Cricetulus griseus: one gene and its partner. The protein of the gene in region 2 interacts with the protein of the main gene of each other region in a biochemical or structural test. Links are inferred from orthologs where the notes say so. Each region holds a gene or a part of one and is shown on either strand. Other genes may lie near its edges.

Region 1 (3,915 bases), on a different chromosome or scaffold from region 2:
TAACATATGAATTGAATTAGGAACTGTAAACTTTATGAGGCTCCAGAATTATGAGGCCGTAACTTAAAGGTCAAGGAGATTAACTTTCCCAGAAGACAGAGGTCTGTGGGAATGTGATGCTGATTTGGGGAGGGAGAGATCCTGGTTCAAGTGCTACCTTTACCTCACTGTAAAGGAGGGCTGTCTCCCAGGGACCCCGAAGGACTAAGTTGGTTTTCTGATCAAGAGTTTCAAACCATCCAGATGGATATGATCAGTGGTCAGATATGTGGTTAACCTGGGCTCCATATCCAGTACTTCAAAAAGAAAAACTGGAGAAACACACGTGAGATGTAAAACAAGAGCCTACAAGAAACCTCATCAGGTAAAGGTGCTTGCCACTAAGCCTGATGATGTGAGTTCAATTCCTGGGGCCCACTTGGTGAAAGGAAAAAAACTAACTCCCACAAGTTGTCTCCTGACTTTGGCATATATGCACACACACAAAATAAATGTAACAAAACCAGTGGAGCAGGATGGCTCATATCTGTAATTCCAGCATTTGGGAAACAGGGGCAGGCAGATTTCCAAGAGTTCCAGGACAGCATGGTTTACACAGTGAATTCTAGGCCAGCCTGTTTCAAACAAACAAACAAACAAACAAACAAACAAACAAACAAACAAGGGCTAGGGACATGTTTGATCCCTCGAACCCATATAAAAATACCTGGGCATGGTGGTATCAACTTACAATCCCAGCACTGGTGACACAGAGAAAGAAGGGTCCTAGGGCTAGCTCCAGGTTCAGTGAGCTCCAGGTTCAGTGAGAGACTCAGCAAAGATGGCTTGGTGGGTAAAGGTACTTGCCCATAAGCCTGGCAGCCTGAGATCAGTCCCAATGATCCACATGGTGGAAGGAAAGAACAGACTCCCACAGATTGTCCTCTGACCCCCACATGTGCACCAGCATGCACCTACCTTCCGAATAAAATAATTAAAAAAAAAGAAAAAAGAAAAAGCAGCAGCAAGGAGAGTGACTGATCTGGTTGTTGACAACCAGTTCACTCTGGTGTCAACCTCTAGCCTCCAGCCCTCATATATATGCATGAGTATGCAAGAGCACACACACACACACACACACACACACACACAATAAAGCAAGCAAGCAAACAAACAGAAAACCACCCTGAACTAATACGTTGGTGACTAGGAAGTGTCTGAGGCCGGGAAACTGAGGTCTGTGTTGAGAGCAAGCCAGAGCCTGTGGGCAGCTATTGTCATTTCCTGCTTGGTCCTCACCTAAGGGTGACTCCAAAGCTGGATGTTTTGGGGGGGGGAGGGGAGAAGCTTCAGATGCACCTGTGTCCAGGGGTGTCTAAACCCTCCGCTTCCCCCAGATGGACCTCTTCACTCGTTGTATAGAGCTAACCCTCAACCACCCCGGGCACCAGCCAAGACAGACAGTGCCACATCTGCTCTAAACCAAATCACATAAGAAAGGTCAGAGCCTGTTCAAGGATGAACAGCACCTGGAGTCCAGGTATAATTTTCTGTACTTGACACCTGACTGTTTTAGAGTGCCCACCAGGAAGGAGAGTTCCGATGACATTAGCACACAATGGTCCGGTCAGGGAGACAATACAGCTTAGTTGACATTACACAGAAATCATTCCCTATGTTTTCCTTTTCTTTCTGAGCCAGGACTCATGTAGCTCAACCTGGCCTTGAACAGTCTATGTAACCAAGGATGACCCGAACTCCTGATCCACCTGCCTCCACCTACCTAGTGCTGTCATTACAGCTATTTACCAGCACACCTGGTTTCAGGATGCTGGGGATGGACCCCAGGACTGCACCAACTGAACAACAGCTTGGCCTGGGATAAACCAGGCCTAGGCACCATTCTCTTGTTCCAGGGCCATACAGCATGCAGACCACCCTGTTTGACAGGAGTTACTTCCAGGTCCAAGGTCTGTGCCATTTTTGACATCAGGACTTTGTCAATCACAAGCCAATTCTGTTCAACTGCACCGTGAGGCAGCCCTGGGGGAAAGCTGTTCAGGAAGTGACAGGTGGTGTCCTGTCAAGGCTGCACGTGGCCGTGGCCGATCTTAGTTTCTCACAGGAACTTTTTTCTCACATCTCCACCAGGGTGACAGGTACTAGCACCACTCCTCAGGCAGAGGGCAGCAGGACTTTGGGTTGGAGTCCTGACTTAAAGGTTAATTGATGGTGCTGGCCCTGTGAGGGTATAAGGCGGCACCTCTCTGGGACAGCTAGGCCTCGAATTTGGGAGTCAGATACACATGGGTTCAAATCTCAACCCTGACACCTGTAGACTGACCTTCAGTGCGTGCCACACCCTCCCTCAGTTTCAAATTCCTCCTTCAGCGACACAACACCCAACCCGAGAGCACTACAGTATTTGATAGTGCACAGGCCGAACCTGGCACATAGGGAATGATGCACGAGGTCAGGTGTCACTTCCATGCCTCAGTTTCCACTTCTGTAAGACGGGGATCTCTCCCAAAATTACCGTCTCGAGGGCTGCTGTGAGGACAGAGAGTTGACAGGCTCCAGGACCCCAGCCCAGGGCAGCCTCTCCCTCAGACAGCAGCCTGAGTGTTCCCGTCTGCACCTCGTTCGCGGCGTCCCCTCGAGGAGACGGAGGCCGCTGCGGTCCTCCGTCAGGGCCCACGACCCTCCCGGATCCTCGGCCCGGGTGGATACCGAGCCGATCCCTCAGCCCAGCCCCACAGGGGCGCGCCCAGCCCCGGTCCCCGGCCGCCCCGAGGCGCCGCTACCTATGGTGGAGATGAACGTGGAGTTGAAGGCGTCCTCGGAGAAGCGGAACAGGACACAGGTCTTCCCCACCCCCGAGTCCCCGATCAGCAGCAGCTTGAACAGGTAATCGTAGGTCTTCGCCATATTACACTCTCTCCCCGACGGGAAGTCCGGCCGGCGCCTCGCCACTGGCCGCTAGACCCGTCCATCATCTCAGATCCCGCCCCCTATTGGACCTCGGCCCGCCGCGCGTCACCGAGGCCGACGCCCGCCCTCCGGAGCCCCGCCCGTCGCAGGGAGCTCAGGGCAAAGAGACGAATCCGGCGCAGAGCCGGAAGCAGCCGCACCGCGCCGCTCATTGGCTGGCCCTTGGGGTAGCGAGATTTGTGATTGGCTAGAGATGGAGAGTCGGAGTGGGGGGGCTTCAAATGAACGGCGGTGGGCGTGGCTATGCCCTGGCCCCACCTTCTCATTCCCCGCCCCTGACGGGAGGGACCCCAACAATTCCGCGCGCTAGGGGCGGCGAGGGACGGACGGGCTTGGTGAAAATGCGCATGCGTGCTGGAAGACGGTTGGCTCCAGCAGAGGGCGCACGCGCGCGGAGGACGCCTCAGCTTTCCCGCCTTCGCAGCCCGCGCAGTCGCATTTAGGCACTGCGGCGAAGCGCGGGAAGTGCATGAGTCACTGCGCTCACTCCCTTGTGGAGGTTTTTCGGCCGAGGCCTCCGGGCTCGCCCCAGTGAGCCCGCCACGCGAGGCCCTGAGGCGTGCCATCCCAGAGGCCGTAGCGGGGGCAGGCGCTGGTAGGACAGTGGCAGATCAGTGTAATGGCAGTGTTTGTTCTGTGCCCGCCGGAAATGCAGGCTCCTTCACCCCACACCAGCGGCTGAGTATGCTGACGCTATAGGTGAGGTGACTTTCCCAGGCTTTACAGTGGCACTTCCTTCCCTTCTGGGTTTTTGTTTTTGTTTTTTTCGAGAAAGTGTTTCTCTGTGTAGCTTTGGAGGCTGTCCTGAAACTTGCTCTGTAGACCAGGCTGGCCTCGAACTCACAGAGATGCGCCTGCCTCTGCCTTCTGAGTGCTGGGTGTAGGGAAAAAGGGCCAGCCAGAGAAACACACTTTGGCCCTGCAATAAGTGCCAAAGAAACACAC
Region 2 (3,815 bases):
CACCTATTGGTGGGCACTTGAATTGTTTCCAGGTTTTAGCTATCATGAATGAAGTTATTGTATATACATAATAAACCCTAAAGACACCACCAGAAAACTTTTAAAACTGATAAAGATCTTCAGCAAAGTGGCAAAATATAAAATTAATACACAAAATCACTAGTCTCTCTACACACAAATGAGAAGCATACTGAAAAAGAAAACAGTTCCAGTCATAATAACCTAAAAAAATACATTGGAATAAACCTAACCAAGGATATAAAAGACTTCTATAATAATTTTAAAACACTGAAGAAATTAATTGAGAAATATACTAGAAGATGGAAAGACCTCCCAGGTTCATCAATTGAAAAAAATCAACATGTGAAAAGTCAAATTGTGAAAATGGCTATTTTACTAAAAGCAATTTACAGATTCAAACAATCCATACAACAGTTGTAGGCTTTTCCCTAGGGCATCTCTCTGTCCTGCTGAACCACAGGCATATGATCAGGTTTACAATACCAGGCCTGAATTCTTTCTGTGGAGCAGTTTGTTAGTTATCCTTATAAACTCCATGCCACTATTGTACCAGTGGGTGCATTTTGCCTGGCAGGTCAGTAGCATGTAGGGTTGGCTTTATGGATACCTTATTCCCTTGAAACAGGGTCTTCCACCAAGCCTAGAGCTAGGGTACTTGCCAAGTCTCAGTGGTTCTTTCCTTCCTTCCACACAAAGCAACTGGTTCAGGTACATGGTAATACCTGGGTTTTACATAGGATCTAGTGATTGAAAGTCAGGTCCCAAACCCAAATAGCATGGAGGGAAAGAATAAGTTGGGGTCTCCACAGTTAATTGCTTCCATCTTTCTCTTTTGCATCATAAACTTTTAAAACACATTACAGAAATAGAGGATAAATGAATTCCAATATCCTTGAGGTGGTATGATGGTGGAAGTGCTTCTGTGTATGTGTTTGTCTTATTGGATGATAAAGTGCTGTTTGGCCAATGAGGCAGCAAGTTAGATGGGACTAGGAGTCAAGGAGGATTCTGGGAAATGTAGTAGAGATCCAGGAAGGAAGTGATATAGCAGGCAGACTCATATATAAGTAAGATCAAGAAGGAAGTCATCCTTTTCCACTTGCTCTTCCTCCTGGTCTCTGCTCTGGAGTCGCCATGTGATTCGCCAGCAAGAGAGGGTGCCAGTGGGAGGCGTCCTCGATAAGATAAGTCTTATAAAATATATAGATTTATGATAATTAAGACTGAGCTAGCAAGCTGGGCCTTGGTGGTGCATGCCTTTAATCCCAGCACTAGGGAGGCAGAGGCAGGTGGATCTCTGTGAGTTCGAGACCAGCCTGGTCTACAAGAGCTAGTTCCAGGACAGCCTCCAAAGCCACAGAGAAACCCTGTCTCGAAAAAACAAAACAAAACAAAACAAAACAAAACAAAGACTGAGCTAGCAGATGAGAAATCCTAGTCTTTGGCCAAGCAGCATTTGTACCTAATATAAGTCTCTGTATGTTACTTGGGACCTTAATGTGGTGGCGAGCAGAACTTGGGCAGCCTGGTGGAAAGCACCCACATGGCAGCAGGACTTTGGCAACTTGGTGGAAAGATTTATTGTTACAGTGGTGCCCTTAACTAACAAAACAGGAAAAACTGTTTAAGGACATGATACAGAAAAATTCTAACGATGAAGAAAATATCAAGAATATATCAAATTTCAAGAAATAGTAGTTCAGAATAATTGTTGACTTACATTCTTGTTACTAATATTGAAGGAAATGTATTTGTTCAGTAAATCCAACTACTTATCCACACAAATTCTCATGCCCATGCACACCTGTGTGCATTTGTGCATGTGCACACACAAAGTTACCTACAAGGATAAAAATGTCAAGATGGCCTTCTTCATAGTTAGAGTCAATGGCAGAAGACAACAGAGCTACATCTATAGTAGTCTGAGAGAAGAAAACATGACTCAAGTCTGTAAGGCTCAGCTAAGATGCTATTCAAGTACAAAGGTAGTTGGGCAGGCATCATGAACATGAAAGAATTCAATAAACATCACAAAGCCTTCCTGGAAGCACTTCCCAATGATGAAGTCTAGACAACCAAGAAATAGAGCCAAAGGAAGGAATTCAGTAGTAGAGAAGTCACTGTGCAAGGCCTAAGTACAAGCAAACCATCCTTATAAATATGAAACTAAAACTAAACCAGGCCTTAAACTCTGTTGATTTATGGCTGCATAACAGAAAGAAAATATAACAAAGCCTGCAAAAAATTAAATAATTTTAGTAACCAACACCAAGAATAAAAGAAAAGATTAGGAAGGTATGGAAGAAAGCTCATGGTGACTGGCGAGATGAAGTGGCTCCACAATTAAGGATGCTTATTGCTCTGGCAGAGGACCAAAGTTCAGTTCCCAGTACTGTTGTCAAGTGGCTCAAAGCTGCATAGGAGTCCAACTCCAGGGTATCTAACACCCCTCCAGCCTCTGAAAGCACCTGCGTACATGTGAACATACCTGTCTACAGACACAGAACTTTTTAAGTAAATTGTTGTTAAGAGTGGATGGTTTTCTTTTTCACAGCACAGTGCACATAAGAACAAAGTAAATTTGCCTAAATGTTGATATTTACATAATCAGATCAAGATTGATTTTTTCTCCTTCTTTGATTTTATCTGTACTTTCCAAACTCCCTCTAATAGTGCCTATTGTTTTAGAAAACGAAGTAAAAGTAATAGAAGAATTGAACAATAACAATTCCTTGGCTCTTACCTGGATTCCTTCTGTTGTTCCTGAATGATCTTTCTTCCTGGCCAGATATCGGCCATCTGTGTCTGCTGAAGGAGGGACTGTCCCACTGTCTCTCTTTTATTTGCTTCAAAACAAAAATGTGGCAGAGTAGTAGTAACCAGAGCAAGGAAGGAGACAACTTTCAAAATATCTCCCCCACCCCAAACACACACTTGCAGATGGGGCAGACACATTCTTTTATGTTTCCCCAAACTGCCTGAGCCCCTGGAGTTAAATGGCCACTGACTAGACTACAGCTGCATTCTCCAAAAGCCTAACTAACCCTGATGCTGGGGCCTTCAGGGAACAGCCTCTAGCCTGGTTCAATACCTGCAGGCTTCCTGCGCAGAGACATCCTGATTATCTCACTGCCTGTTCGGTAAGCGAAGCGGTTTACTTTCTGGTCATAAAACCAATCTCCAGTTGCTTTCTTCAGCTCTCTGGGAGAAAAGAAAAAGGTCAGATGTATAAATAATAAACTCTGCCATTCAACTAACCAAGTTGATGAGAAAAAAATTCACACTACAGCCTGACTCATCTCCCCTCTTTACTATGCTGTTGTTAAGTAACACTCACATTTCCTTGGCGCACACCTTGCACCGCCAGGAACCATTACTTTCCAGAATGCGGCATTCTCGACACACTAAATGATTACAACCCACACAAGTGTTGTTCTTGGGAATCAAACGGCCCAGGCCCTCCTGGCACCGGGCACAGGTCCGATCACTGTAGTGCTGGCTGCCCCTTTTGGCACCTTTGCGTTTTATCTCCAGTAGCTCATTCTTCAGTCGCCTGCCAAGACCCAAAAGAGAAGCACAAATGGGTTCAGGATCTTCACAAGCTGAGGTATTGACAGTAAGACTACTAGGTTGTGTAAAAGGAAGAAACTCGGAGCCCAACTTGACCCACTGAGCTGTCAAATCCTATGTGGAGTTCTGACAGTGAGTGAAGAAGCAATGGGAAAGTCTGGGTATCCTTTGTTGGAAGTCCAGAAATGCATACTATTTCTGGGCCTCTTACCTAATCCTTTTCT

The links.
Region 1: the proteins of Sytl4 (region 2) and Rab8a form a complex in vitro, tested with the Homo sapiens proteins (2 studies listed by BioGRID). The link is inferred for Cricetulus griseus from reciprocal best matches to the Homo sapiens genes SYTL4 and RAB8A.

The regions. Positions count from the first base shown.
Region 1 is NW_023276806.1:246,924,481-246,928,395, reverse strand, and holds the start of Rab8a (ras-related protein Rab-8A), read right to left. Parts: upstream 2,944-3,915; 5' UTR 2,908-2,943; coding exon 2,784-2,907; intron 1-2,783. UniProt on the Homo sapiens protein: The small GTPases Rab are key regulators of intracellular membrane trafficking, from the formation of transport vesicles to their fusion with membranes.
Region 2 is NC_048604.1:46,164,972-46,168,786, reverse strand, and holds part of Sytl4 (synaptotagmin-like protein 4), read right to left. Parts: coding exon 3,803-3,815; intron 3,575-3,802; coding exon 3,359-3,574; intron 3,223-3,358; coding exon 3,113-3,222; intron 2,868-3,112; coding exon 2,765-2,867; intron 1-2,764. UniProt on the Homo sapiens protein: Modulates exocytosis of dense-core granules and secretion of hormones in the pancreas and the pituitary. Interacts with vesicles containing negatively charged phospholipids in a Ca(2+)-independent manner.